Linked DNA regions of Schizosaccharomyces pombe. Changing the gene in region 2 together with the main gene of any one other region gives a genetic interaction. Each region holds a gene or a part of one and is shown on either strand. Other genes may lie near its edges. The genes, in order: cis4, trp1322 and apm1.

What was found.
Region 1: of trp1322 (region 2) and cis4, extra expression of one rescues a mutant of the other (dosage rescue), as found in Schizosaccharomyces pombe (one study listed by BioGRID).
Region 3: of trp1322 (region 2) and apm1, extra expression of one rescues a mutant of the other (dosage rescue), as found in Schizosaccharomyces pombe (one study listed by BioGRID).

Annotation. Positions count from the first base shown.
Region 1 is NC_003424.3:4,724,483-4,734,445, forward strand, and holds cis4 (Golgi zinc importer, CDF family, Cis4), read right to left. Parts: upstream 4,860-9,963; 5' UTR 4,577-4,859; coding exon 2,378-4,576; 3' UTR 2,300-2,377; downstream 1-2,299. Other genes in the region: DNA replication pre-initiation complex subunit Cdc45, read left to right, coding at 321-1,940, 1,982-2,278; trm401 (tRNA (cytosine-5-)-methyltransferase), read left to right, coding at 5,269-5,301, 5,352-5,398, 5,438-5,560, 5,606-7,411, 7,456-7,513; SPOM_SPAC458.02C (mRNP complex protein), read right to left, coding at 7,710-8,846, 8,944-9,117, 9,238-9,333. UniProt on the Schizosaccharomyces pombe protein: Probable zinc transporter involved in Golgi membrane trafficking through the regulation of zinc homeostasis.
Region 2 is NC_003421.2:1,280,874-1,292,311, reverse strand, and holds trp1322 (TRP-like ion channel protein), read right to left. Parts: upstream 4,423-11,438; 5' UTR 4,176-4,422; coding exon 1,587-4,175; 3' UTR 501-1,586; downstream 1-500. Other genes in the region: fyu1 (UTP-glucose-1-phosphate uridylyltransferase), read right to left, coding at 1-134; pxd1 (protein Pdx1), read right to left, coding at 4,907-5,962; rpm1 (3' ssRNA-specific 3'-to-5' exonuclease), read right to left, coding at 6,277-9,150; DNA replication factor A subunit Ssb3, read left to right, coding at 9,948-10,094, 10,158-10,260, 10,362-10,426; pdr16 (sec14 family protein), read left to right, coding at 11,413-11,438.
Region 3 is NC_003423.3:1,906,268-1,915,630, forward strand, and holds apm1 (AP-1 adaptor complex mu subunit Apm1), read left to right. Parts: upstream 1-3,873; 5' UTR 3,874-3,912; coding exon 3,913-3,974; exon of another isoform or gene 3,975-4,049; coding exon 4,050-4,155; exon of another isoform or gene 4,156-4,225; coding exon 4,226-4,873; intron 4,874-4,951; coding exon 4,952-5,416; 3' UTR 5,417-5,548; downstream 5,549-9,363. Other genes in the region: ubiquitin-conjugating enzyme Ubc7, read left to right, coding at 117-174, 224-477; ribosome biogenesis protein Yar1, read right to left, coding at 965-1,405; ribosome biogenesis protein Nop8, read left to right, coding at 1,865-3,301; fmo1 (flavin dependent monooxygenase), read right to left, coding at 5,869-7,212. UniProt on the Schizosaccharomyces pombe protein: Component of the adaptor complexes which link clathrin to receptors in coated vesicles. Clathrin-associated protein complexes are believed to interact with the cytoplasmic tails of membrane proteins, leading to their selection and concentration.

The DNA.
Region 1 (9,963 bases), on a different chromosome or scaffold from region 2:
ACATGTTCACCTTGGATTATATCACCAGAAAACAGCGATTACAAATTATTTTTACGATAGTTTAGGTAGCTCAAGTGAAAAATTTAGTAACTAGAGTAATTATAATATGATTTTTGGCATTTGGCATAAAATGAGAAAGGGTTGTTTGCAATGCCTACAAAAATTTCTTTTTTTTGTAACTACTATTGCGTAGCTTTGACTTGTATATTAATGCGCTATTGTTTAGGAAATATAAAGCGACTCAAAGTGCTTTACCTTCCTTTGTACTGACCACCTGGTAATTTCCTCCATGATCCACCACCAGTAACGTTTATTTATTAATGTTCATCAAGAGATCCGATTACGCCTCTGCTTACTTGAAAATTAAAGAAGCAAGTGTATCTGGTGGATGCACAGTTCAGCTCTTTGTTGCTTTAGACCCAGACGCGCTTTGTGCATGCAAGCTATTGTCCACACTTTTGAAAGGCGATTTTATTTCACATAAAATTAGGCCTGTATCGGGCTATCGAGACCTTGAACAAGCAAATAAAACTTTGCTAGAGCAAAATGAAGATATCAAATTCATTATACTTTTGAATTGTGGAACGATGGTGGATCTAAATAATTATCTTGTTTCTATGGAAGACGTATCTATCTATGTAATTGATTCTCATAGGCCGCATAATCTAAATAATATATACATTGAAAACAATATTTTTGTTTTCGACGATGGAGATATTGAAGAAGACATGAATAAAATTCATGATGCTTGGTATGCATTTAATTCGCATGAGCTATCAGATGAAGAAAATTCCGATTCCAGTAATGAGCGAGAGGAGGAAGTCGAAGATGACAACCGATCTGTGGAATCTTACAGCTCATCCGATTATCAAGCACGAAGTCGTAGGCGTTTTTCAGAGGAAACGACGCAACGTCGAGCTGAAATTAAGGAGAAAAGGAAAAAACGGAAAGAGTTCGCCTCTATCCTTTCTGAATATTATGAGAAAGGAAGTTGGTACGGCGAGTCAATTACCAATATCCTGTTTGCAGTAGCATCCATGCTTGGACGTGAGGATAATGACATGTTGTGGTTAGCGATTGTTGGGCTCACCTGCTTGGAAATTCACTGCCAATCCTCAAAAAAATACTTCAATAGGTCCTATTCTTTATTGAAAGATGAAGTCAATCGCTTGAACCCTTCACCACTTGAAAATCAAATAGTCGGTCGCGCACATGGTAAGACACCCCATGATCAGTCAATTCGGCTTGAAGATGAATTTCGTTTTATGCTAGTAAGACATTGGAGTCTTTATGATTCTATGCTTCATTCTGCTTACGTTGGTTCGAGACTTCACATTTGGAGCGAGGAAGGACGCAAACGACTACATAAGCTTCTTGCAAAAATGGGACTCAGTCTGGTGGAGTGTAAACAAACTTATATTCACATGAACATGGATTTAAAAAAAACTTTGAAAAGTAGTCTTAAAAGATTTGCACCGTTTTATGGTTTAGACGATGTGATATTCCATAGTTTTACTCGGACTTATGGATTCAAATGTACACTTAGTGCAAGTGACGTTTCTTATGCTATCAGTGCATTATTAGAAATGGGTAATACAGGTGTTTTGCTTCAAAGCAAAACTGTCGCTCGAAGCCCGGATATGACGGAGGAAGAATATTTGGAGAAGTTTGAAAATGCTCAAAATCAAGAATGGTTGCACAATTTTTATGATGCATACGACGCCTTGGACGATGTCGATTCATTAGAAAGAGCATTGAAGTTAGCAATGCACTTACAAAGAGCCATTGTTCGTACTGGAATCACCTTACTTGAAAAAAGAGCCATTAAAACGTTGAGATCTTTTCGTTTTGGACTTATCAACGAAGGACCAGATCTGAAAATATTTATGCATCCCCTTGCGTTAACAAAGATGAGTCTTTGGATTGCTGAAGCTATTAATGTAAGTGTCTATTGATTTTAACGTTTGACTAACACTTGAAGGAGCAAGAACGAGAATTTGGAAAGCTTAGACATCTTCCTCTTGTTTTAGCAGCTTTTGTAGAGGAAAAAAATAGGTACTTAATAGTTGGAACTTCTACTTCCGCTTTTACTAGCAATGAAGATGACGATGATGACGACGGTCATGGACACAATCGTTTTGGAGTTGCATTTCAAGAGGTTGCAAACATGACATCTGCTACTTTGCAAATGGACTGTTTTGAAGCAAGTGTGATTGAGTGTCAAAAAAGTGACCTCGGGGTTTTTTTAGAAAGTCTGTCCTTCAAAACACTATTATAAAGATTGGGTAAATAATGGGAATTTTGCTAATAAAGAAAATATTAATTCATCTAATTAAAATTACACGTAAATAAGTATGGATATCAACTGATGTAAGAACTATTTTCCACACCAGCAATTGTTTGGCCGTTCAGATTGTATACAAATGTGTTTTAAATTTGGTACAGCGATTGAGAGCTTCCTAAATACTTCATTACGAACCACGTTTAAATCACCGTCTATGCTCACCTGAATATGGAGTATTCCATACACTTCACCTCTTTCGTTTGTCCAGAACTTAGGGTTGGATAAACTGATAACGGAGTTACTTAAACTGATGTTCGACAAACACTGCTTCAATAAATATTCCGATTCTGGATCAGTCACAGAGAGCAAATTCTTCGCCGAATCTTTAATTAATGGAAGTACAGAAACAAATATTAATGCAGCAATTATTAGAGATGCCAAAGGATCAAAACCGGTCCATGAAAACCACTGTATTAATATAGTAGAGACAATAACTCCAACAGAGCCCATAGTATCTGCGATAATATGCAGAAATATGCCATGCATATTATGATTTTCATGGTGATGATGACAGTGATGATCATTGTCTAAATTCTGGAGACTTATGCTTTCATGGTCGCATTTTTCATTGTATTTATGGATGTGATCATGATTGTGGTTATGCTCATGGTGATGTTCCTGACTATTCTCATGGGTATGTTCATGTTGGGATACGTGATCGTCATTCGTATAGCCCATTTTCTGGGCTTCAACATTATCTTTTTCTTCTTCAAACTCTTCAAAAATATTTATATCATTTGTAGTGTTAGGCAGACACATACTATGATTACTATGGGAATGATGGTGATGAGACCCATGATCATGATTATGCCCATGATTGAACGCTAGGATACCTACCAAATTCACAACAAGGCCCAAAAAACTAACCAACAACAATTGGTCGGTATTCATTTGGGGCGGATGAAATAACCTATATAATGCCTCGCCGACGATAGAAAATGAAATCAAAACTAAAAAAATACCATTAGTGAAACCCGAAAGAGCCTCAATTTTTGCAAATCCAAAGGGGTAAGCATAATTTAGAGGCATCTTGGCAAGCGTCGTAGCAACTAAACCGACAAGAATAGCAATACAGTCAAAAGCCATGTGAATTGCGTCTGAAATAAGCCCCAAAGAATTTGTCCAAAGACCATAAATAACTTGCACAAACATATAAGAAACATTTAAAAGGAAGAAATAAAATATGCTTCTTGACTCTTTATCGGCAAGCACTCCATTCACTATGAAATCATTGTAAAGTCGGTAAATACGGCTGTTGTCAGGAAGCTTCAAGTTTGCTGTTATAGAAGAACCAATTTTAAAGAAGCAAAATCCTACTTGATAGAGGCATGATATGATCTTGATAGAATTTTGAGAAGCTGTCTTGTTAATAATGGCAGAAATTAGGGCCATAATTAAAGAAATATCGAATTTTCCCAAGTAAAATTGAATTCTGGCAATTCCATCCCAATTGATGCAAAAAATTTGCATAAAACAAAGAATGGTAAAACGAGTGACTGATAGATTGATTGTTCCAAGCGGAAGGACATTAAATTGAATGAGACAAGCCACAACGATAGAAGAAAAAAGGAATGCCAATTCCTTCTTTTCAAACTTCTCTTTGTTCACAAGGTAAAAGACTCGAATGAAGACACCAAGAAGTATATAAAAAACGCTGGCATAAAAAACGGAATAAGAACATTGGAAATAACCCAACAGTATTAGGATATGATTAATGACAAAAAGACATATTGGAAATGCTATATAGTTCTTCAAATTAGCAGATCTGGCATTAAATGGTGTAGGATCGTTACGAATAAAAAATAATTTGAAAGCTAGCAATAACAAACAAGTCGTGTCTAGAGTTCCAAGTACAAAGGCACCTAAAGTTATGAATACCATCGATAAAGAAGCGATTATTACATTTAATAACTGAAAAGGTTGGAACGAAAATGAATAGATGCCCAAATATTGAGTAGTAAAGCTGACAAAAGCAAAGATGCCAAAAATAAGGTAAAATGGAATCGACATGGTATTGACTTCAAGACCAGAACCAGTAATGGAGAATGCACAAATTACAGAAAACCATCCTAGTGTTTCAGATGATAGCAAAGATTTACTCGAAATGAGCGATAACAAATCTTTTTTTTTAGCTGCAGCAATTGAATCAGAACTTGTCTTTTGGTCGTCTTTTAAAACAGGAAAAGAAGGGAACCTATTGGTTCTCTCGAACGCAGAAGAATTAACATTCATTTTTGTCGTCAGGAACACCCAAAAGCTGTGGTTGACTATTAAAAAATTGAATGATTAACAAAACTTAACTAAAGAATAAAGAAAACAAAATAAAGAGTAATCCTGTTTTGAAATTTAAATCCTGAGTTGGATGTGAAAGTGCATTAAGTTAATTTGACAAAGTTAATAAGTGGTCTTAACTATTTAAAATCAAACGTTGAAAGTTATTAAAAGCGTCTTATAGTCAAACTTCTGTTTAACTAAATTTGAGATATTCTAAATCGAACATGAAATGGTTGTAGTTGTCAAAAAGACCTAACACGCTAAATTAAGTCAACCAACACAAACACAGTCTTTATACATTCGAGATTTTAAGATAATATAAGATTGATGTTTAAAAGTAAGCACTCGTACAGTTTCATTTTTAGTAATTCATGTACAACCCCTCATAATCTCACTTAGGTGCGAAGCAAATCCACAATAACAATGTGCAATATTCGTAAATTCTTGAGTTATCCAAGATCTGTAGAAAATGTCGCAAAGCAGACAATATAACTTCTTGTTAATTCAATAAAATATTTTTGAGAGTTTTTTCCTTGAAAATAGGTCAAAGTAATTTTGTAATCTGCTAACAAAATACGCACTATCCAGCATTGAAAATTGCTTGTCTTGTACCAACTCGATACGTTGATAAGGAAAAGGAGGAGTTTAAGATGGGTCGTAAGCATTATTCTAGTAAAAAAAATGTTAGTACGAAATTAATTTATTTTTTATCTTACTAATGTGTATTAAATAGAGGTCTAAAAAAGGGGAGTTTGTAAACTGGGATTTAATTGAGAGAAAGTGAGTCATGACTTCAGATTATGTTTACTTACTAGATAGAAATGAAAACTTTGAAAAGTACTACAGGCTTCAGAAATTAGTGACGGAGGATGACTTTATCCTTTTAAAGCAAAAGCTTACTGAACAACTCCCGACAACATTTCGAATAACTGCATCGATTCCGTAAGTAAAAACATTATTATTTTTTGTTTCTAATCATTTTAAAAGTCATGCTACTCAAGTTCGTGATTATTTTATAGAACACTACTATCCACTCATTGAGAATGCAAGAACTGAGGATGCGAAAATCCCCTTGCCAGTTTCACTTCCATGGTATCCTGATGGAATGGCTTTTATGCTGGACATTTCTAAGGAAGTTATTCGAAAAAGCCCTCATCTCAAGGCACTTCAAGAATTTCTTGTACTTGAAACAGAAGCGGGTGACATAAACAGGCAAGAATCTGTAAGTATGGTTCCACCATTACTTCTTAATGTAGAGAGTCACCACAAAGTTTTGGACATGTGTGCGGCGCCTGGTTCTAAGACAGCTCAATTACTCGAGGCACTTCACAAACCAACTAAGAAAGAAGATATTACTACTTTGTTGCCTTCAGGAATTGTTATTGCAAATGATAGTGACAATAAAAGAGCGCATATGCTTGTACATCAGATTAAGCGATTAAATTCTCCAAATGTGTTAATTGTTAATCACGATGCTTCCTTTTTGCCGAATTTCCATCTATCTTCTCCCGACGGTAAAAAGTTCCTTAAGTTTGATCGTATCCTTGCTGATGTCCCATGCTCTGGAGATGGAACCTTTAGAAAAAACATTGCTTTATGGAATGAGTGGTCTTTGAAAACAGCTTTAGGGCTTCACGCGACACAAATTAAGATTTTAATGAGAGGTTTACAACTGTTGGAAAAAGGAGGAAGATTGGTGTATTCAACATGTTCATTAAATCCAATTGAAAATGAGGCAGTGGTTTCTGCTGTCTTGAATGCTACCCGAGGTTCTGTAAGGTTGGTGGATGTTAGTTCGGAGCTTCCTCAGTTAAAACGTAGTCAAGGTGTTGATAACTGGGTAGTTTGTGATTCCGATCTAAATATTTATCCTTCATTTGATACCTTGCCAAAGGAGCTTTACGAAAAAATGCCTCCTACTTTATGGCCACTACCAAAGAAAGAACTTGCTGAGCTGAATATTCAAAATTGCTTACGTATTTATCCACATTTCCAAAATACTGGAGGCTTTTTTGTTGCAGTTTTAGAAAAATATGAAAATCTTACTAGCTCTATGAAAACTGCCGTCGACGATAACAAGGTTTTTTTACGAGAACAAAAGTTGCCAAGTGAACAAGCATCAAAAAAACGTAAACAAGATACTCAAGAAACATCTTCGGATTCAAAATTAGCCGAAGTTAAACCAAAAGGAAAAAATGGGGGCAATCGATTTCACGAATTGGATCCTTTCGTGTATATAAAAGAGGACGATCAAGCTCTCGAGAAAATCTATAAGAAGTTTGGCATTGATGAAGCTATCATAAAGAAGAATCAGTTTTTCGTTAGAAATGTCAATGGTGTCCCTACGAAAGCCATTTATATTTCCAACGATCTTTTCAGAAACGTAATTGAGAACAATCGTAATCGTGTTAAATTCGTGCATGGTGGTCTCAAAATTTTTGTGAGACAAGATTTTGGAAGTCTTTCAAGAGAGATAGCAGAAAAAAACGGTACTTGCGTTTTTCGAGTTCAAAGCGATGGAGCGAATCTTGCTTCTCATTTTATCGCTGAAAGCTGTTTGTTTCATACTACATTATCTGATTTGTTCATTTTATTAGACCATGAAGCCGTGACCATTGACGATTTTCCTGAAGACAGTTTGTTCAGGAAAGAATATAACCATTTGGATCTTGGAAGCACTCTACTCCATGTTGATTTGGCAAAAGAAGAAAGCGTTATAAAGAAGCAAGTCTACATACCTTTATGGAAAAGTGTGCGTATTTGCAACGTTTTGTTATCGAATTCAGAAAAAAGGTAAGAACATGATATATACGCAGAACCTATTCTAACCAAAACAGGACATTAAAATTACAGATAGAAGGGCCACAGAGTTCAATACACAAACATAACACTTGAACCTGAAGTGTCAATACTACGAGGATAGACAAAATACTTATATAAATATACTGTAAAGTTTCTGAATAGAAATAATGGGAATACTTGAATGTTCTCAATTCAAAATGATTGTATACAAAACTATTAAAGTCATCAGCCAATTCACTTAAGAAACTTAATGACAGAGATATAAGAATTAGCTACAACCTCAATAACTTTAAGCTGTAGCTTCCACCTCCAAATCATTAGTAACTGTCACAGTTTCTTCAGATGATATAACCATATCAGCTTCAGTTAAAGTTTTTTCTTCTTTAGAATTATATTTAGCTTCCAGTTTTTCAATTTCCTGCTTGGCTTTCTCAATACGTTGTTTGGTAACAGAGTCTTGCTGCTCTTTAAAATGGGCGATACGTGACTTAAGTTGTTCAACGGCTGAATCAACTTGAGACTTAGTGAAAGGAGCAGGAACACCGACAAAATCGAATTCCTTAATAGTGCCAAAAGAAAGATTGAGTCTATCAGAATCGGCTTGATTGTTGTTGCTTTTGTTTGATTTTTTGGGCTTCGATTTTTTAAGTCCGCTAAACATGGCATCATCGGAAGACTCTTTCTTAATAATAGTTCCTTCAGGAATTGGATCCACAGTGCGAGGAGTCAAAGTTCGTGGCTTCAAAATTTTACTAGAAGTATTTCCGGTTGAAACGGCATTTGTAGTAGAAGATTCGACGGGAACATGAAACACCTTTAATAAGTTTTCACAGGCAAGAATCTCTTCCGTAAAGGCAGGAATACTAGCCTCTTCTAACTTGCGTTGAGCAGCAATTCTTCTCTTCTCCTTCTCACGATTTTCACGCTCAAGACGAAACTGTTCTTGTCTTTTGGCACGTTGTTCACGTTCATAAGTACGGAATGCGCGCAATTGGGTATCGTACTCACGTTGTAAAGCTCTTCGTTGATTATATAGATCATCGAGTGCAGTCTTCTCATCATCTCTTTCTGCTATGAGCTTACGCTGATCTTTATAGTAACCGTCTTGTTGCTTACGAACCTCATCAAGCTCAGAACGGATTTCTACGAACTTGTCACTCAACTTCTTTGATTCTGAATCATTAAGTTGATCACGAAGCTCGTTAAGTTCATTTCTAATCGTATCAATACTAGTTTGAAGAGCGTTCAACTCAACGAAGCTCTTTCTAGTACGATTGCACTGAGAAATTTCACGCAGGTATTTCTTCTCATCAACAATCTTTAAAGTTCCTGAGTCAACGGCGGCTTGAAGTTGTTTAACATGTTTATCAAGCTCCACTTCTGACTTGAAAGGAACAGTTTTTTTCATGGCAGTCAACTCCTTAACCTAAAAGTATGTCAGTAAACATTTTGTTTCTTTACCAAGCTCATAAAGTTTTCCAACACAAAACTTTAGTGCTTACATATATTAATGCAAAACATACCTTCTTTTTCAAAAGTTCATCTTGAGCCTTGACTTTGTTGATGAGAGTTTGCTTAGAAGAACGGATAGCTGCTTGAGCATTGCGAATATTGTCTAATTCAGCGCGAAGTTCTGCATTCTTCTCCTGCAATGAACCACCACCGCGAATGGCACCAAGCTTCTCCTTATGCTCATTCTAGTTGATTAGTTAAGATGCGAAAACTATATAAGAAACAAGTGATTTTTTGAAGCTTTCATAGTTATGAAAAAAAAAAAAAGCTTAGCCTTCAATATTCAAGAATTTAAAACTACTTACGAAACGCTTTTTCGCCTCGTTGATCTTAGCATCAAGCTCCTCCAAAGCCTCCTTGTGAAGAGCTTCATTAGGACGAACGGGTTTATGAGATGACATTTTTATTAAGGATTTTGTTGTTGGTGGTGGATAGTGGTGTGTGTTGAGTTGTCGTTTAACGAGTATATAACAAGGCAGATAAACTCCGTTTGTTTTGCTTCCCTAGAGTTTTCGTTCGCAGTGCTGTGAAGGAGACTACCTGTTTCTGAAATTTTTATAAATAGCTTTTTGTTGACGGTTATTCAGACATCGTGTGAAGAGCAGTCTAAGGAAAAGATTACGATAATACATGTTATGATATTTTTTTTTTATTTATTTAAATAAACTGGTAGTTTTTTGCACTCGTCCACGTATTATGTTTAATATTTCAATTTAAAAATCCTGAATTGTAAATTTAGTGACCTTTATTTGCAATGTGTTGACTTGAACGAAACAAGAAAAATTAATGCATTTTTTCTCACGGATTAGCTTACCGATTAGCGGAGCATTAACATTTAATTTGGGAGGTACACAAAAACAGTTTTAAACTAAAAGTTACTTGCTTTTTAAAAGCAAATAGAAATATTGCAACTAGTCTTATAAAGCAACAGGATACTTCACTTATAGAAAGCGAATTTGAAAGCATAACTATCCATTCTTTTGTTACAACTATTGCATATAAGCACAAAATGTCTTTAAGTTAAATTATAC
Region 2 (11,438 bases):
TTTACGGTGCTAGCCAAGTGATTCAGCTCATTCTTCATAGTACTGGCAGCAATACTGGTAGCGGTGTTGTCAAAAGCAAAAGCCGATTGCGACTTGCTGTGCTGACGACCGAGGGGACGTGGTGCCAAATCCATAGTGCTTCTGTCTCTTTTCGAAGTTAAAACGTTCTCTTTAAACCTCTAAAACAAACAATTTCAATGTTTGTTATGATATACGGAGAGAGTAAGTTACAAGTAGGTGCTCGTTTTATATAGCGGCACTTACGTCACCTTTCCTGTCGACATTTGTTTAGATTACGTGTAAACAACAACCGACAATTTTCAACTTTGAGCATGGCCAAACGGACGATAAACGTTTGTTAAATCATACATGACATTAATAAATCTACAAAAAATTTCAATCTATTCCAACGTCGCATTCTAAAGGTTTATTGCGAAAAACATGCTTGCTGAACGCAAGTAAAATTTTTATTTATTTACAAATTTGTTTACAACAAGAAAGTGGGTTGTTATGACGGCGGAAATCAATTGGTGGGGTTTTCGCCGTACGTAAACAAATTATCAATAATCAATTACCGTGTTCCAAGGTTTTATACGTAGTTACCTAGGCAACATCGCAACAGCTATCGAAATCGAATGTACACGAAAAGTTTGGAAATATCCGATATAAGAATATTATTCATAAAGAGAGGTACTTAATGTAGACGGAAAACACCACTTATTAGCCGATGGAGGATGGAAAATGGCTCTAAAATATGAACATTATTAACTAACTATATGCAAAACGCAGTAGATCTCTAAAAATGAACCAACTAGTTAGTTAGTGTATGCAAAAAAAGGCCAAGGAAGGCGAGTAGAAATTCAAACAAAGGTTCTGCTAAGCAGAGCGAGGCGAAAGTAATATGGATTTGAAGTTGTCAGCAAAAAAACGAAAAACAAAAAAAAACGAATTATTAAGCAAGCTTCTTTAATGAAAAAAAACCTTATATAATAAAGAAATGTGAGTTAAAGAAAGTTAGCTAACTTGATAACTGAGAAAATGTAAGAACCATAAAAGGTTAACGAAAAAAGATTTAGGGAAAAAACGAGCATTAGATTGGTATGAAAAGGCAGGTGGATAATAGAAAATGCTAATTAAAATAAAAGGAACAACAACAACAACAAAATATACGAAATTGAACGAAAAAAAATTTCGACTTTAATGGGCTGCCGATAGAGCAAAGAAAGCACTTGTGCTATATTAAGACAACAAAAGTCGAGATTTTGGGATTATTAAATTTGGCCTTTAGTAAATGAAACTGTATGGGAGAGGAAAAAAAAATGCAAGCTTTAATGAAATGAAGTAGTAAGAGAGCAGACAGGTAAGAGAAAAAATAGGATTACCGTCATAATAGCGAAAAAAAACGTTTCAAAAAGAAACAATTAGAGGTTCAAAATGTGACTGAAATAAATTAAAAAAAGAATACGTTCCGTATTTCGAAATAAGAAACAGCAAAAGTAAAGTGTAACAATGAAAAATGAAAAGTGAAAATAAAAGAACAAAACAAAATTCTCACAAATCATAAACATTAACGAACGAAAGTGGAGTTATGGATGTGGAATCGACCAGGCTGACTCCGCTAATGAGTCATCGGTTTTCTTTCTCTCCATGGAGTACTGTTCATCACGGGAAGGCTCTATATGCAACTGAGGAAGAGGCTTTTGCAAATTTGGCCGTGGACGAGAACGTAAAACGACGAAACCTTTTTCAGATTCTTTCGGGGGGTCTGAGTGCCATATGGACTTAGCTGTTGATTGGACAATTTGCCACGCCCGTTGAAATGCATTTTTCGGAGGAGGTGGAATAGCAGTGGGCCTCATTTCAAATGGTTGCGAAGAGATTTGCGATAGACTGTCAATACTTGTGTCTACGTGTGGATGATAGACATCGGCCTCACGAACCGCGTAATTAACATCATGGCGTAGTAAATTAGGCTTGTTGTTTAAAAAGTCTAATTGTAAAGCACGTAGTTGATCCATGTCCCGTTTACGAACAGATGACTTTGGTTTAGGTGGACGGTAAAATGAATATCCTTGTGATGTGCTGTATGGAGAACTGGGAGTAACAGGAGAATCCAACATTAGACTACTTGAAGATGCTGTATTGTTCTTAGAAGGGACAAGACTCGACGCTTGCGTAACTGGAGGAATACAGTTAGTCTGAACGAATAATTTTGGCGGAGCAGCCTCGCCATCCTTCTTAAGGGAATTAGAACAAACGGAGACTGGCGTAAGTGGCACTGACATTTCATTTGAGTTGTAGGTAGAATGATCAAACATCATTGTGTTGCCATTGGAATATGGATCCTTAAGACGCCGGCGTCTCAATTCATTAATACCAAATACCCTGGCCCAACCAAATGGTCGATCGAGTGGGACACCTTTACTCTCACTTTTAGCACCTAATAACCGTGCACTGACTTCCATAAATCGTTGAGTTGACAGAAGTAAGAAAAGGATACAAACCATTATGTGAATAAACAAAATTGCATAGGCCAGTAAATCTCTACTAATGCCAAGAACCTTTAATCGAGGATCTAAGGGAATCATTAGAATAACCGTGATCAAGCGCATGGTAGAGATGAAGGTGTTTAACGTATTCATACTCGTCTGCGGGAAATGTGGTCGCACATAAGCATACGCCACGACATTAGCAACTTCAAGTATAAAGAATATGGCTAATTGTGCAGAGCCGGAACTTCCTATGACACCAACCGTAATACCACGCATAAATTGTACGGCAATTGGAAAGATCCAAAACATAACTCTCTCTTCTCGAAACGAATTGTATATAGAGCCAAATAAATGCAAATATGTTTGATCTTCAAGAAGTTTGGACGATGGTTCAACAAAAGCGAGATTCATATATAAATACACCGGAATAAAGATTCCAAAAAAGATAAACCACAAAACGGGGATAATTTCATAACCTGTGGGCGGTGCGACAAACTGGAATGACATATAAGCGACGGTAGGGAAATATGTCAAGAAGTAAAGACGTATCAGAGAACCAGCAATGAAGCTCCAAGTATCCCACCGAGTTTCGGCAATAGTTTCATTGAAAATTCTAGACATAAGCCATTTCAAAAAAATAACCAACAATGCTACAAATAACGCAGCAAATAAGTAAATAACCATGACTATAAGAAACGGAAGCCAGCATGCAGTACCTATTCCTATAGAATCGAGAAACGAATACATGCCATATGACTTAGGCAAATAATCCGCATAACTAGAGGATGCTACAGACAAGTCGGCAAAGTCTGCAAATTGATATTCAGCAGGCTCGGAGAAAATGGGAAATCGAAATAGAGCAGTGCCCCAAGAAAGAGCAGCCATAATATTTATGTAAAATTTTGGAAACATAACACTAACCTGAGCTGTAGAAACAGCAAATTGCAAGTATTGCACAAAATCAAAAAATCCAAGGGATGTTAAACGAAGAGCATCAGGGTCCATATTAAAATTAAAAATCGACTTAAATGGATCTAAACTGCCGGTCCATGGATTTAAAAAAAGAGCATAAATAATGGAAAACGAGACATATGCGAGCGACACAACAACCAAATATGAAATAACTGGATAAAAATAATACAAAGTTGTGGACAAACCAAACTTCATACAAGTTATTACATTTTTCTCGGGAGTACCGTCAACAACGATTACTCGCGTTGTTAATGTAGTCAATTCGTATTTTGAGTAATCGGACAAGGTGGATTTAAAGGGAACTTTAACCATGAAAGCGGCACTTCCAGCTGCCCAAGGACATTTTATGGGGACTTCAAAAGAATGAGGATCCATAACAACATCACAAAGCTTTGTGGTATTGGATGTGACCAGTTTTCCTAACGCATAAGTTTCCGAATAAACTGAAGCAGCGTGAATATGTGAGCCATTTCCACCCACAATCGTTATAACTCCGGATAAATTCCCCACTACTTGAATGTAGTACATCCGATTCACTTCATCAAAATTCTTGATAACTGCATATGGGCTAAAGGTAGGAATACCTGCTCTCGGTACAAAGTTTGAACAAGTCTCAAAATAATCCAAACTTGGGGATCCATTCACTGCTGAAAGAAGGCTGTAAAAAACGATATGAAGAAAGAGGAAAACAGAGTACGGGCGAGGCTTCATTATTATCCAAACACAAACATTCTAATAAATTTTAATATAAATAGATCCAACCTTGAATTCTTTTGATTCTCTATGAAACGAAATTTGAAAAAGACTTTAACTGCTCAGGGTTGGTAATTTGAGCAATTACAAATGCAGTTATTTAGAAAGAAAAGAAGGTTTCAAAAAATGAATGCTTTGTAAGATATAAGTAGGCCAGAGACGCGAAACACATAAATTGCTATTTCTCGTGTGTGTAGTTAATGACAAACACATGCTCTCGCGTTCCTTGTCCTAGTATTAGATAATAAAGATTAACTACGCAGCACGTTAGTGAAATTTTATGAAAAATTTCCGGCTCGTTAAATAAATAACATAATAATATACTATTTCGTTATTTTCCAAAGACAAATCTGCTCAAGAAAAGGTCCTAACATTAGCGCTTTATATGCATATATTATAAACCATACAGCGCTATTGAGATATAAAAAAAAACAAATAAGACAAGAAGAACTCAGTAACGTTCTCAAAGACGTTTAAAACTCGAGTCATAAAGTCCCTTCTGCTTTGGTCCTTCAAAATTAAGACAAGCTATCTACTCGTTATTTTTAGTTCTAACTTATCACATAAATATATACATTTAAAATTATTGAAATAATATTCTTGACTTGTTAGATATATAACGTACATTAAATCATCATTACGGGACCAGCTCGCCAAAAGTTTGCTATACTTAGTCTAACATAAATATTTCACTTTTCAAAATTTACGTTTCTTTCCTGAAGCCACGAGTGCAGAGTGTCCAAAGATACATAAACACCGTGCTTTAAAAGTATTTCGAGAAGGTCGTTTGAGGAAATACGTAGGGCATTTGAATTTTTCCATAAATAATGATACAACTTTTTTCCACCAGGGCTTCGAAAGAACGTTGAAATATTAGAAGAACACATTACTTGAGGAACCAGGAGATTATCAGCAACTTTCTTTTCATCGTGTTCGCAATTAACTATCGGATCGGACTCAAGGGTGGTAAAAGACTCTTCTCCAGAATCAGAGGTTGGAAATACCGACATACCAAAACAAGAACCAGCTTGTTCAATATCATAGCGATTATCATCATCGATACGGGTGCATACTCCTCTCAACATGTTTAACTCCCCACTTATCGAAGGTACTTGTTGGGACAATAAGTCACCCTCATTTCCAATTAGGTAATAGACATTAGTTCTAAATGATGATATCCATAAGTAAGGCGTAATTTGACAACCGATATTGCTGTGGTGGAACCCAGGTTCGACATTCATGAGTTCATCAGACAGAGGAAACTTTGGCTTATGCCTTTTAGCAATAGAAATAGCAATTTCTGGATGAACAACTTTGGACTTAAATTGTCTCTTACTAACACGAACTCTAGAATCTTCTGAAACAGAAGCCGTCATAAGTAACGGCTTTTTCTTGGGAATGGTATGGCCAAAGCTTAATGGGGTCAAGCTTTCTGAATGCAATTGATCAACGGAATTATTTTTTTCTTCAAAATATTTGGTAACTCTTGATGTAATACTGTTATAAGAAACCTTCGATTTAGAAGAACGAATGTGTGGTTTCTCAACTTTAGTAAAGTCATGAATATTAGCATTATCCTTTTTCAGGAAAGAATGCAGCGTTTTCTGTCGCGGTGCTGCATGGACTTTCATCTGGTATCGAAACCGCTGAACCTTCTCTGCAAAACTTTGCGCAGCATCATTTTCTTCAACATTAACGTCGTTTAAATTTAAAGAGGGTGCTGTTTCACCTTTAGATTCAATCATTTTTCTTAACTTAGATTTTAAACAACGCAGCACACTTCGTCGATGGATTTATAAGCATCCAAAGACATTTGCTTCTTGTCTTACAAAAAATAGAAAAAGAAAATATATTTTAATCACAAGAGTCAAGGTTAACAAAGAGACTTCATAGTAAAACTACCTGTTGGTTTTTGAGATGAGTTTTGGCGAAACAGGTTACTATCAAATCCCAAAACATAATTTATTTATATCGTTAAGTCTCGGTAAATTGATAAAATGCAGGATTGAGTATTTAATTAAGTAAAATTATATCCATAAAAATAGTTTTAATAAGTTTGTTAGGTCGCTAAAGCAACTAATAGGATATTAGACTCCGGAAAGACATCCTTAATTGTAAATGCCTGGCGAGTATTTGCTAACCGGAATGCTTCGTCCGGGAGAATATCAATATGCGCTTTAACACCCAATTCTTCCAACATGACCTGAGGTGTTGAAAGTTCTGAAACCATTAAATATCCATGATAAATATTTTTTTGTACCTTTGGAAGTCTCTCTATATATTTTAAGGCCCAGAAACGATTAATGTATCTTCCTATAGTTTTAATTGATTTTTCTTTTTGGTTGTACAAATTTAGTTTTCCACGAAGAATACCATCAGGTATAGTATTTTTTGGAGTCTTTAATAATACCGACTGAATCTGATGATGAGTGAAGAAGTCGGTAAACCGGCGTAAAGGAGAGGTAGACTGAATATAGCCATCCTTTAGCCCCAAAGAAAAGTGGGAAACAGGTGTGGAGGCTAAATGTGAACTTTCAAATAAAGGCATTACAGAAAGTGAATACTTAGTTTCAACGAGTCCCCAAGATGACCTGTTACTTAACAAAGTTTCAAACGCTTTTCTTCGTACACCATCCATAATTGGATAAGGCTGGCCCCTAAAAATCCCAGGTAATTTATGTTCTTGAAAAAATAATGATGAAACCCGGCCAGCCAATATCATGCACTCTGATATTACTGATTCTGCCAAGCTATACCCTTCACTAACGTTCAAACTAATTGTAGGGAAGGAAGACCAGTATACTGGATGATTCAGATCACCAAGATTATAAGGGACATTATTAGGCAGCAATTCAACTGTCGGAGTGGGTTGTGCAATAACAAACGCAAACTTTTGTAACCTAGAAAAACAGGCTTGTTTCGAAAGTTCATATATTCTTAATATATCTTTCATGTGATCATTTGATACTCCTTTTGTTTCCTCATCCACTGGTCCAGAAACGATGTCTTTCGCAATTGATCGATTACTATGCAAAGCTTTATCCAGTTGTTGGGGTGTGTATTTGATAACTGAGGAAATGAAGCTAGGCCGAACCTTGTAATCAAGTATATCGCCATTTTTTGAAATTTTAGCACTAAAAGTTAATGCTCTTTGAGCTGTAGAAGATGAATCTAAACTCCAATATTTCTGAGTGATATTGAGAGGTAGCATATACACAATTTTGTTGGGATGATAAATAGTTTGAAAGTTCCTTTCAGCAAACGTGCCTAAAGGACTGCGAATGTCAACTGTACTCGTAGGATTAGCAACATGGATATGAAGCCAGGAATTAGACATCCCTAATTCTTCAACCGAAATCGCATCATCTATCTCTTTCGTAGAAGAACTATCAAAGGCGAACGCTTTAAGATGCCTTAAATCGACGCGTTGCGATTCAAGTGAATCTTTTAATTCATTTTTTACAAACTTTTTAAAGTGATTACACTCACGTTCATACACAGCATCTAACTGAGGATTAGTACCAAGGCCAGCAATGCTGTATTCCTGTTGAAACAACCTCGGGGGCTGCCATGAAGCCCACACGCCAATATCCGTTAAGAATTTAGCAAACTGATCACTAGTTAATCCCCTCTCGTGAGTTTGAAGGCCAACTTCTTTGTAAACCTGACACAAGTGTGTATTTGGTAAACTTTGAATACTTTTTGCAATCATTTCCTGAACAAGATACCGCAATAGTTTTTTTTCAAATTCAGTCCAAGTGACCTGTGAATAAACTACGGGTTTTATTTCTTCGGTGCTTATAGGTAACTTATATTTATCTCGGGAAACTTGAATTAAATGACGAGCTTTCTTTATAAACGAAAGATATGGTGTTGATTTCTGACGCAGGCATGCAACAACGTCGTCAAAAGAATCATTTTGTGAAGAGGGAAGGAAATAGACTTTTTGAATTTCGGAAAATATGTGATCGCTTATTAAAAAATGTTTGCTTTCTGTAAGCAAAAAGTGTAACAATGAGATTTTAGCATATGGGCTAGGCTTCGAAGTTTTGTACACAAATTTCAAAAGGTCTGAAAAAGAAGCTGAATTGTCAAGTTTATTTGGAATATTGAATTCTGTCAATATTCGCAAAAATTCATTTCGGTGACTTCGACTTAAATCTTGTGCTCTTTGAGAGATTTTTTTTAATAACTTTATAGTGAAAGGTAGGACATCAGAAGGAACAGAAACATCAGAAAGAGGTTGCTGCACCTCTTTCAGCTTTTTAAAGACATTAGGACATCTCAGTAAAACTCTAGATGTACGAAATTCCTTAATAGTACCGTTTTCGTTAATGCTGGTCAATACATTACTATAGTTCCAAACATTAGTACCAGTGCATGCAGCAAGTTCAATGCCTTCGGAGCCCCTATAAAACACTAGCAAATCTCCACGATCGTACTGTCTAAAATTCTCACTGCTGAAATCTTCTAAATCAAAAGAATACTCAAAATCATTTTCCAACTTCTCTTCCTCAGATTTTGTAGTAGTAGGACAAACAGCAGCGCGTTTGTCCTTCTCGAACTTGTCTTTCAACCACTGTCTAATGTTTCCATGATTTTCTAATTCAGAGAAAAATTTTTTAAGGTTTTCCTCATTCACGGATTTCAAATTAGCATTTTTAAATCGATCAATAAGATCTGATTGAGTATGCTTCAAACGCGCACCACAATGTCCCCAAAGATGATGATCGTTTGCTGGTTGTTTCCCGAAATTTATTAGGCATCCAGTTATGCGGAAATATTTCAAAACTTTTGAACTGGAAGGGCAAGCATGATGAAATTTCCTTGTAAGTTTACAAGGAGACAATTTTAAAGACAGGCATACACGTTTTAATAAATAATTAGACTCTAAATTAACATTTTGAAGAAGAAACAATTGCCTATAGTTCATGGGCAAAAACCCTATAATTAGTAACACCAAAAATAGTGTTGATGGTAAATTCGACTAGAGAGCTGAACCAGAGCACTTTTAGGTACTAGCAAGTATTAAGGTAACAAGCTCTGCAAATGTAAATGAAGAGTGGTTTAATAACTAATGTAACAGAAGAAAGATTTCAATATGAGTATGGAGTTTTTTGATTTTTTTTTTTTTGAATTGAATGGTCGAGGGGATGGGCGACTTCAAAGTGAAATACATGAAATCACAACCTCAAGGTAAAACTAATTGAAAAATTATATCATTAAAAGAAGGCTGCTTTCCATCAATTACATTTACTTTTAATTATTGAAGCTTCTGGTCTACGCCTAAGCAATTTACTAATAGTGGTATTGGAAAAGAGAGAAAATTAAGAGTCGCCGACGATTTCAAAAATAGTATAAAATACCATGAAATCTTTCCATAATGTTATTTAAATCACTATATGTAAGACGTATTTATATTGGTCTTTAACCCGTTTATTTACAACATTTCAACCAATTAATAAGTAGTGAAATTAACGCAGAAGGATACAAGGAGATTTTTTTATGAATAATTCTTATAAAAAATAGAACAGTAATGTATCAACGTTAGCCCCCAGCGTTTATATTTACGCTTTTGCTTTTTTATTTACATCCCAGCGCCTTCCAACATATAATACATAACGTACTGCGTTCCAATATTTTAAATAATTCGTGTCAACAAGTAGTTAACTACCTGGTCTGATACATACTTCACTTCCACCACTTTATAAACAACGCGTATAAAATAATATGGAACGCCCTACACCTCGAGTTACGAAAGATATGCTACCAGAATGCTCTGGAAAAACGGTTCGGATTGTTGGCAAGGCGAATCAAGTTGAAGGTGAAACTGCAAAAGTCGATTCCAACGGTTCTTTCGATATGCACCTCACTGTGGTACGTTTTATCTATTTTACAATCGGTTTTCAGAGTTTTTTTATTTTATCTAACTAATTTTAGGATAACACTCTTGAACCCAATCATTTCTATGAATTTGTCGTTTCTGTCAAACCAGATTCTTCGGTGCAGCTTTTAACCTGTGTTGATTTTGGCACTGATATTGGTAAGTTGTGTTTATAAAAATAATAAGGAAGTCCTTTGAACTTCTGCTTCTGCTAAGTCCTACATTCTATTGACCGATTAACTAATTTCCTGTTCCTTTAGATATGGAGGTATACCAGAAACTCGTTCTATTCAGTCATAAGTATAACTCACTTTTTTTTGAATAAGAAACATTTTATGGATCATACAACACAGATTTCTCTTTCATTTCTCATGCACAGTACAAATAAACATGGAAGAATAAACGCGCAGAATCTTGCTTCCTTCTTTTGGTTTTTGCATATTTTATTGCATTTCTAAACTCAAGCTTTTCTTTTATAATGATTCTTCCTTTTGGCTAATACAAATATGAATTTTACTATCGTTTATTTCACTTTTTTTGATTCTTGTTTGAGTATTTTTATATAACGTTCTCCTTTTTTCGCACTATCTTATTTAGTGTATCCTTGAGATGCTCATCGCGGACGATTCGGCTCCGAAGACGGTACATACCGGTGTTTCTTACGTTTGCTCATCCTTCAGTCACCCTGCCATTGTAACAATCCAACTACCATATATATACAAAGCGAGCAACGCAAGTATATCTAGTGGTACTACGCTGAATATCGCTTATTCCTAAAGAAAATTGGTTGTTTTGAGAATTATTATATTACTTTTTCCTTTACAAACTTTTTTGCTAAAACTGTTGTTTAGCAGTTATTGAGATTGTTAGAGAAATAACGTTAGAAAACGTGCATATGCAGAAGTTGGATTGTTTCGGAATTGCTCCGATTGAAATACTCTAAATATATCTGACATTTGTTCTTTGCATTTCTGTCTGCGCCTTATCTTTAGAGATCAGACACGTTTCTTTGAATATAATCTAACTTGCTTGCATGTTAAATTGGTCGAAACAGAGATAAAAGATATCCTGGAATTCATGGTAAACCATCGAGATCTCTTACTAAAAATAGAGAAAAAAGAAAAGAGTTAAGTATTTCGAACCCTATAGTAATTTAAGTCTTGGGAAAATACCTTTTTTCATTTAATTCCATTATTTCTAATTTCCTTTGATATTTCTTCTTTTACGGTGAAAAGAATACCCTTTGCAATCTAAACTGTTAATAGTTTATTCAAAACCAACATTCGTTAATTTTATCGATACAAAACCACGATGAAAGATTCGGAACATCACCATCA
Region 3 (9,363 bases), on a different chromosome or scaffold from region 2:
TTTTTTGGGGGTTTGGTTTCTTTCTTTGAATCGCATGGCAGTACATCCGGGGTGTTCAAGCGCACGTTGATACGTGCTTAGTTTTATTTTTATTGGATTCTAACTTTTTTATGTAGGATTATCCTCTTGGCCCCCCTACTTTAAAGTTTGAGTGTGAATTTTTCCATCCAAATGGTATGCCAGATACTATTAATCCAAATTTCGAGACTAACCTTCATTTCAGTTTACAAAGATGGGACGGTTTGCATTTCCATCCTACATGCACCTGGTGACGATCCAAATATGTATGAGTCGTCTTCAGAACGTTGGTCTCCTGTTCAATCTGTTGAAAAAATACTGTTATCGGTAATGTCGATGTTGGCGGAACCAAACGATGAAAGTGGTGCTAACATCGATGCGTGCAAGATGTGGAGAGAAGATCGAGAAGAATATTGTCGTGTAGTTCGACGATTGGCTCGTAAAACCTTGGGATTATAACCATGAATTGTATATTTGATTAGATTGCCATGAATAACGAACCTGATAAAATCTAGAAATAAAGTTTTGTTCCATTTTTGAACGCAACCGGTAGGCTTTTCTCTTTCTATTCCAACGTATAACGCTACATAGGTTTAATTACAAGGTTTAAACAAAAATGAAAGCACTTTTCCAATTCAATTTCTATCTGTAAATGATGGAAGATAAACATTTTGTCTATTGAGATAATCCATCTTTTAATAAACATCACTTGAACTTTCTACACAGATACATGGCAACGTACATCGCTGAAAACGAATTATATTGAGAAAACATCTAGAAATTACACAGTAAAAAACTTAACAAAATATAAGAATAACCCCAAATTATGCTCCAAAAGAAAAAAAAAATGCATCAGGTGCATAAAAATATTAGCTTCCCACAACCTACAAAAGAAAGAGGTAAATTTTTTTACAAAATAAAAATCAGAAATTATCAAATAAAACGATCATATTCCATCTTCCAATTTTTCTTCATCACCAGTGTTTTCTTCACTACCTTTAGCAATCTCAAAATCCAGAAAAAGGTCCATTACTTTTTGCTGATTTCGAATATCAGCTTCATATATAGGTGACTTCTCATAAATATTCTTAATATGAGGATCACCTCCCGCTTCCAGTAGTAATTTGCAAATTTCAGCATGTCCATTCAGTGCTGCCCAATGCATTGCGGTGTTTCCACTCTCATTCTGAGCATTTATTACTTCTTTATTCAAGTACGGGATTATTTTTTGAACAACAGCGATGTGTCCATTAGCACTAGCCATATGAAGTCCAGAGTTACCATTTTCATCACGACGACTTAATTCTTGTGGACATTTCTCTATAATCTCATCTAGTAACTCCTCATCCGCAGCTCTACAAGCGTAAATTAAATCATCAACATCCATATTAAACTATCCAATCCAGTAAAGAAGGATGTTTTACCGGTTTATTTGGAAAGAGAATGATGTGAAAACTGTTCGTTTGTTAGTGTAAGGTAGCCGCGGCTTCTCCAACTTGGCTTCGGCAAGGCCGTGGTTACTTACTACACCACAAATTCCATTGCAATTTTATATAATTATTCAACGAGAACCTGCCTTCTACAGCAGGTTAATTTTTGATTTATAAGAAGGAGAAAAAGAAGTTACAGGAGTGTTTATTTCCGAAAGTCATAGAGATTTAAACCAGTATATATGCTTTCCTTGTAAAAAATTTCATTGCTCACACAGCTCTCGATTCCTCATCTAAATAGCTATCTGGTAGCGATTGGTAGACTATTTTTTCGGGTTTATTTCCCATTATATTTCAGACACTCTTTTTGACCTGCGAAACTTTTTGTCCTCATTTTGTATCAATTGACTTCAATAATGGAGTTAGAAAAACGGATTTATGTTGGTGGCCTTTCATCCTCTATTGAATCTTCAGATTTGGAATCCAGATTTTCTCGTTTTGGAAGTGTTTCAAATCTTGAAATTATAAACAAATCTACTCCAGTAGGAACTATACAACGATTTGCATACTTGAATTTTCGAACAGATGAAGATAAATGGCAGAAATGCAAGTCTTACTTATCAAATGCGACGTTTAAAGGAAGTAAACTTCGTATAGAGGAAGCTCGCCCTTATTATTTAGTAAAATTGCAGCAGGAAAAAAAAATTGCTGATCTTCAAAGTACTAATAATGATGAGAAAAATGAAGATCACTCCAGCAAAGTTGATCTGGAAGACCCAGTCTTTCATGGAGAAATAATTGTTCCCGGAAAACATAGTAAAAATATGCAGGTGGTCACGGATTCTGATGTTCGGAAGGATCCTCCTAGAAAAGGTTGGAAAAAAGGCCCCTATGGAAGGGCCATTGTCGTGCTTCGAATGTATAATAAAAATACTAAGAAAACGAGGTTTTTTTATCCGCTGGGTAAAAACTGCTTACAAAAACTATGGGGCCGAGTGGAAACGAATATGGACAATACTACAGCTTTTTATGATTCTGATCATGATGAGTATGTATCATATGGGGGTAAGAGAGCTTCTCGTGACAAAATACGTATGCAAGCAAAATTGGGTATCAAAGCTTCTACTCAGAAGGATGATAACGATTTTGAACTTCTTAATAACACAACTGGGGAGATTGAAGTCACAAAAGAATTAAACGAAGAGCAATTGGATGCTTTGCGAAAAAAAGATAAGGATACGGCTGCATCTGTGTTAGCTGAACTGTTTGGTTCTGAAAATACAGAAGAAATTGATACCGTATCTAAAACTTCAGGTGTTTTGGAACTGGACAATGATTCGACTAATAATTTCCAAAAAGAAGGTTTGGATGAACAAGATAATTTACAAAAGGAAGAGTCCGTACACATAGATGTTCCTGCTGAATTTGAAGCATTTGATGAGCGTACTGCTGTTGTTAACGTTGACAATTTAAAAGAAATGTTTTCTTCCAATGCGCAGGATACGTCTAAGTTTTCTCTTTTTGGCAATGAAAATGGAGTTGGTGAGGAAAGTGAAATGGAAAGTGAGATTGATGACCGTAATTACGAAACTATGGAAGAAGAGGCAGATGGGGAAACTCCGCTAGCTATAGTTAAAGCCTCATCGGGTACCAAGGGTTGGCCAAAAATGTTTACTCTACCCAATCCTTCTTCCCTATTCCAACCAGGTAATGAAGATTATACGAGCAGAGAAGCTCTTGAATCCTGGTGGTCGGAAAATCGTCTATTCTTAACTCGTGATTACAAACGAAAAAGAAAAGATGCCGTAAAAAGACAGCGAAGGGCTCATGAAAAGCGTATTCGACTTGTTTAAAGACGCGTATAGGTTATGTATTTATTGGGAATTTATTTGGGTATTTTAAGGTTACGAGGTATATATTGATTTTTTACACACTTTTGGAATCTTTACGTTGTTATTTCTCTATCCTTTTTATTTTAGAAAAAAATCTGTGTCTTTTTAAAAAGCCACGATGTTCACTTTGGTTTTATCATTGGTGAAAGTTAACAACTTTTTTCGTTGCACTTTCTTGGGATTTGTGGCTTTTAATATTTACAATGTTTGAGATCAAATTTTATTAAAATATTTGTTATTCTTATTGTTATAAGCCAAAGTTGTCAAATAAAACATACCGAAATTTTCTTACATTGTCAGAAAAATTATTTTCCTTTTCGGCATTTACAAAACCATATAATGTAAATTAGTTATAATTATCTGAATAGATTATCTTATAAAAGAAGACTGAATGTGTGCATAGAGTAGTAATTACTCAATATAAGAAGAATTTCGTACTATATGTAAGAAACAGAAATAGTGAATTACGCTGTATTACACTAGCGGTGCTTAGGCACGGTGATGAGGCAGCCAACAGTCAATGCTAGTTATCCAGAGCGAAACTAGCTGCCTTATTCGCGGCTTCTGTAAAAATGGCTTCTGCTATATTCGTTCTGAATTTAAAGGGAAAGGTAATCATTTCCCGTGATTACCGGTAGGCAATTTTGAAATCTGAATGAAAATCAGATTGTCGCAATTCGTCGACAGGTTACTAACAGAAAACAATTAGAGCTGATATCCCCATGTCAGTAGTTGAAAAGTTTTTACCTTTAAAATCAGAAGTTGAAGAAGAACAAGGATTCTCCACCCCTTGTCTCACTCACGAAGGCATTAACGTATGTAAAAGTTAGATATTATGAAAGCCAACAATTCTTATTTTTTTATGGTCGTACTAACACTTTTCAGTACATTTACATTCACCATAATGATGTCTACCTCCTTGCTTTATCCAAAATGAATTCCGATGCAATGGAGATGCTAGTATTTTTGCGTAAAATGGCGGACGTTTTTATAGATTACTTTAAAGAATTGCAGGAAGAGTCGATTCGAGATAACTTTGTTCTTGTTTATGAATTGTTAGACGAGATCATGGATTTCGGTTTTCCACAAACAACTGAAACAAAAATCTTGCAAGAATACATCACTCAAACCTCAAATACGGTAAAAAAGCATGCTCCACCCCCCATTGCTATGACAAATGCTATCTCCTGGCGTTCTGAAGGAATTCACTATCGTAAGAATGAAGTATTTTTGGACGTTATTGAATCAGTTAATTTAATTGCTGCTGCCGATGGTACGGTCATTCAAAGTGAAATCTTAGGAAAAGTTCGTCTCAAATGCTACTTATCAGGAATGCCTGAACTTCGTCTTGGGCTCAATGACAAGGTCCTTTTCGAAGCGGCTGGTCGTACCATTAAAGGAAACACTGTGGAAATGGAAGATGTGAAATTTCACCAATGTGTTCGTCTTGCTCGATTTGAAAACGATCGTACAATTTCGTTCATTCCTCCTGATGGCGAATTTGATTTAATGTCCTATCGCATGAGTTCAAATGTAAGTTATTAGTTTGTGCCTGTTCTTTTTATTCCCTCTCTCCTTTATCAACGTTTTCTAATATTAATTTCTCGTTAGGTACGGCCATTAATTTGGGTTGAATGTGAATCCATCGTGCATTCAGGTTCGAGAATTGAGTTTATGGTAAAAGCTAAGGCTCAATTCAAAAAGCGTTGTATTGCAAATAATGTCCAAATCATCATTCCCGTTCCGGAAGATGCTGACAGTCCTCGGTTTCAAACTAGCAATGGTCATGTGCAATATGCACCTGAACAAGCTGCCATGGTTTGGAACATTAAGAAATTTGCAGGTGGTAAAGAATTTTTCATGCGTGCTGAAATGGGTTTACCAAGTGTTAAAAATGAAGATATTCAAGTTCAGAAAAAACGTCCTGTTCAACTAAAATTTGCTATTCCCTATTTCACTACCTCAGGGATCCAAGTTCGTTATTTAAAAATCACCGAACCAAAACTTAATTATCATGCTATGCCTTGGGTTCGATATGTTACACAAAATGGTACTGAATATTCCATCCGTCAGTAAATGTTTCTAATGATGGTTCTCCGTTCCGTTCTTTTTTCTACCTTTAGATACCTTTCCCTTCATCTATATATTTGTTTTCTTAGTGTACTGATCCCATTTATTACGAAATGAAATCTTGTTTGCAGACGCGCTAATCCTTTTTCTTACTCAGCTGACATAAAAGGAGCATTTGCTTGAAACATAAATGTCTAAGTCTATTTATTGTATAAAGGATAAGTTCAATGTTTTTATTAAAACAGAAATAAAGATTTTCTAACATACAATTCCATTTACTCAGTAGTGAATCTCCGTGTATTAAAAATACATAAAAGACAGATTGTTCCAAACGGTTTTCTAAACATAATAAATTAAAAACCAAAAGCGAGAGAATGAGAGGGAGACCGGATAGTAAGAAAAAGATTGAAGGGAAAAGTTTAAAGGTCTAAGGGTGTAATGAGTTTTCAAGTACGTATTTACTTTGGAGGTTCAATTCCGAAAAACTTAGCACGGATGGACCACATGTTTTCACGGATGCTTCGTTCCTTCTCGCCCCAATACGGTGACGGAAACTCTTCTTCAAGAACAGGTGTAGCCTGTTTACACCAGTCGTGTAGCTTGTTAATGTAGGTAGCGTCTTTTGGATAATCCAAAGAGTGATACATATTATTTGCTCCACTCAGCGAAAACATTAATTCGTCTTGCCATTTCAGCTGCTCTTCTTTGCTGGGTAATTTGAGGCGACCAGACCAAACTCGCGCGAGGAACGCTGCCTGTGCTTGACTAGTAGGGAAAGGAACAACGTGTAGAGCTAAACCAACAAAAGCCAGAGTTGGATCGGGGATATAAAATATATGTTGATAGACATTGTGCACATGACTACCATCATCAATCAACTTGGTTTCAGGGGATTTCAACTTAGCCAGGGAAGGAAATGGTACGGAATACAAGTATCCGGTACAATAAATAACTCTGTCAATATTAGATAACACTTTTCCACCTTTCAAGTATATTTCCCTAGTGGTAGGATCGAACTTAGTAATTTCAGGTACTTGTTGCAACGATTCATTCTGTATGTCCCCTCCACCAAGAAGACTTTGATATATAGGGTGCTTAGCGACTGGCGTCAAGTGTCGGACGAGATCGTTTGCAGAAGAAGCACCACCAACTACAAGTACTGATTCACCCACGAATAATTCTGGTTCACGGAATAGCGATGAGTGTAGAACTGACCCCGGCACGGCTTTAGCGTATTCATCGAGACCTTTAATATTGGGGATATAGGGTACTTCATAATGACCATTACAAATTGAGACTGCATCAAAGATATCTTTACTAATCGGGCTTCCGGCTTTCGTTCCTTTGTATGTCACGACCCAGGAGCCATCCTTCTTTTCTATATCTAGGACATCGGTGGCTAATTTTATAAAGGGCAGCAGAGGTTGTGCATATATCCGTTGATATTCCTGAATGGTATGTCGATGGGGGAATTGAAGAGTTTGGGGTTTAAAGCTTTGATCACAATAACCCATCAACTCAATTGGGGTATTAGTTTGCAGATCACGATACAAAGGTGAAGGATACACAGGTAAAGCAGCTGGTCCGACAATGGGTTCGGTTGTTAAAATGGGATTTGTGCTAGGAACCGGTAACTTATTTGATAAAGTACTTGTATAGTTCCAAACACCACCCGGAGACCCCCTTCGCTCAAAAAGCGTGACCTGGTCAAACGCCTTTTCTGCTAACAGCGCTTTAGCCGTAACTAATCCAGAGGGACCAGCACCAATGATTGCAATTTTTCGAATTGTTGGAAGACACATAAGAACAAAAGAGAAAATGATAATTTTTTGATTAGTACCAAGTAAATTAAGATATTTTTTTTTCTGTACAAAGAATAACAGAATGAAACAATATCCAATTGTGAAGGAGTGTAATTGAATGAAAACTACACTTTATGTGCGTTTTATATCTTTGCACGTTCCGATTGTCCTCAATCTGCCAGGGGGCCTTGAAATCGCTGATAAAGCTATAGCTTATTGGCTAAAAAATAGAAGTGCTGGTTAGCGATACACATATTGAAGCCAGACACTATCTGTATATATAGTTTGTTATGGATTCAAAAACGCATCCGCTTTTCGCAACTTTAAACAATCTTTTCATCATACTCAATATTAAGCACGACTAAATTACAACATCCGATCAACATTTTAGTAATCCAAGTTCTGTTATAAGCGAGCCATATGACAAAAATGGGACATTTGAATTTCTCATTTAGAGCAAATTAAAATAATAAATGTAGTTTACACCTCTTGATGGATTTAATAATTAAGATCAAGCTGATATCCGAATGTAAATTTGACCTTGGCAACGGATTATCAAAGAGAAAATTTTTTTAGCGTCCAATGATAACAGCGTTTAAGAATTAGTTACTTATAAAGACCGAAGCGATCTTCCAGATAATGAATAGCAATACATTAGATGTGAACCTATTAATGTTGTTTAAAAGATCTAGTAAGGGCATTTTGAAAGGAAATCATGCTGATGAAAAAAAAATATATCTTTATCTTCCTAACACTTCTTGCAATGGCCATAAGAGAAAGTACGTCTCTGCTGCTCATACTTTTCAAGCATGTTGAATGCTTCAAAGTAAATGATTATAGTAATTTCCCAAATAAATATAGTTAGGTGACTTACTGACTCCGCCTAACGCGTAAGTTGGATTGTTGAAACAATTAAGCTCTTGCTGTTACAACGGTATAGCTTAATACCCAAATAATTACTTAAATGCTTTAAATCATCATAATACCAACAAACGTTCGTTTTTATAATCAGAGACAAGAAGATTTTAAGATTTGCAGGGAGGTATACTCATATATAAATTCATTGTATTTTAGAGTACTATCAATTATGTATCTCAAAGAGTATATAGTAATACATGAAATAAAAGTTTTTAAAGTTGAATTATAATTTGATGTTCTATAATTGGGGTGAATGCACCCTAATTGACAATAGAGAATTCTACGAAAAAAATCATGCATCCAGGATAGTCATATAGGATTTTGGTTAAAATTGGCAGCACAATATAGTTTTTGATGCAATTACAGTTAACATGCATAATACTTGTTTTGAAAAAAAGTTATGAATAAAAGCTCAATTGTAAGCACATCACAAAGAACGATTTTTAATCGTAATTGACGATATGTAATTTTGGATTTCATATAAAATTGTAACTACTTATTAAATGATCATTAGGGGAAATAGCGCACACTGTTTTATATCCTCTTCAAATTTACAAAATGAAATTAATCAATTTTAGCAATTTACCTATTTTATATGATTGAATTGAATTGAAAAAACCATGAGTTGATTATGACGCTGAAAGAAAGACATATAAGATCCTTAGGACACTACAACTCTTTCTACTTGAATGCGAAAGTGGATTGGTCTCACCAAAAGATTACCGTACACAAGAACTTCGGTGCTCTAGCAAGTTTTCTTTCAACCAGGGCAATTGCAAAACGAAGAAATTCTAGTGGTACACCACACTGTTAAAAAAAATTGACTAGCATATTAACATTGTTAGATTATTCACTTTTTAAATTTGGAAATACGAAGCTTCAAACATAAGCCATAATAAACACAGTGAAGGCTTTAGCATTAAATTTATTAAAAACACTGCTTAGCAGTTTGTAAAGTCAAATGTTTGCTATGAACATTTTGAGTAAAAATATAACAAAGATTTATTCTTTTCTATACAAATCAGAAAATATATAAAAACAAAACATATAGTGAAATTAACATATATAACAGAAAAGGAAGCAATGTAATGAACAAAGCGATCTAGACTAGAATATGTCAAGGAAACATACTTTACGACGTACAGCCAGTCTAGTGAGTAAAAAAAAAACACACTCTTAAAACAAATACCAAGAACACGAAAAATAAAATGTTGTAATATTTCTGAATGTATT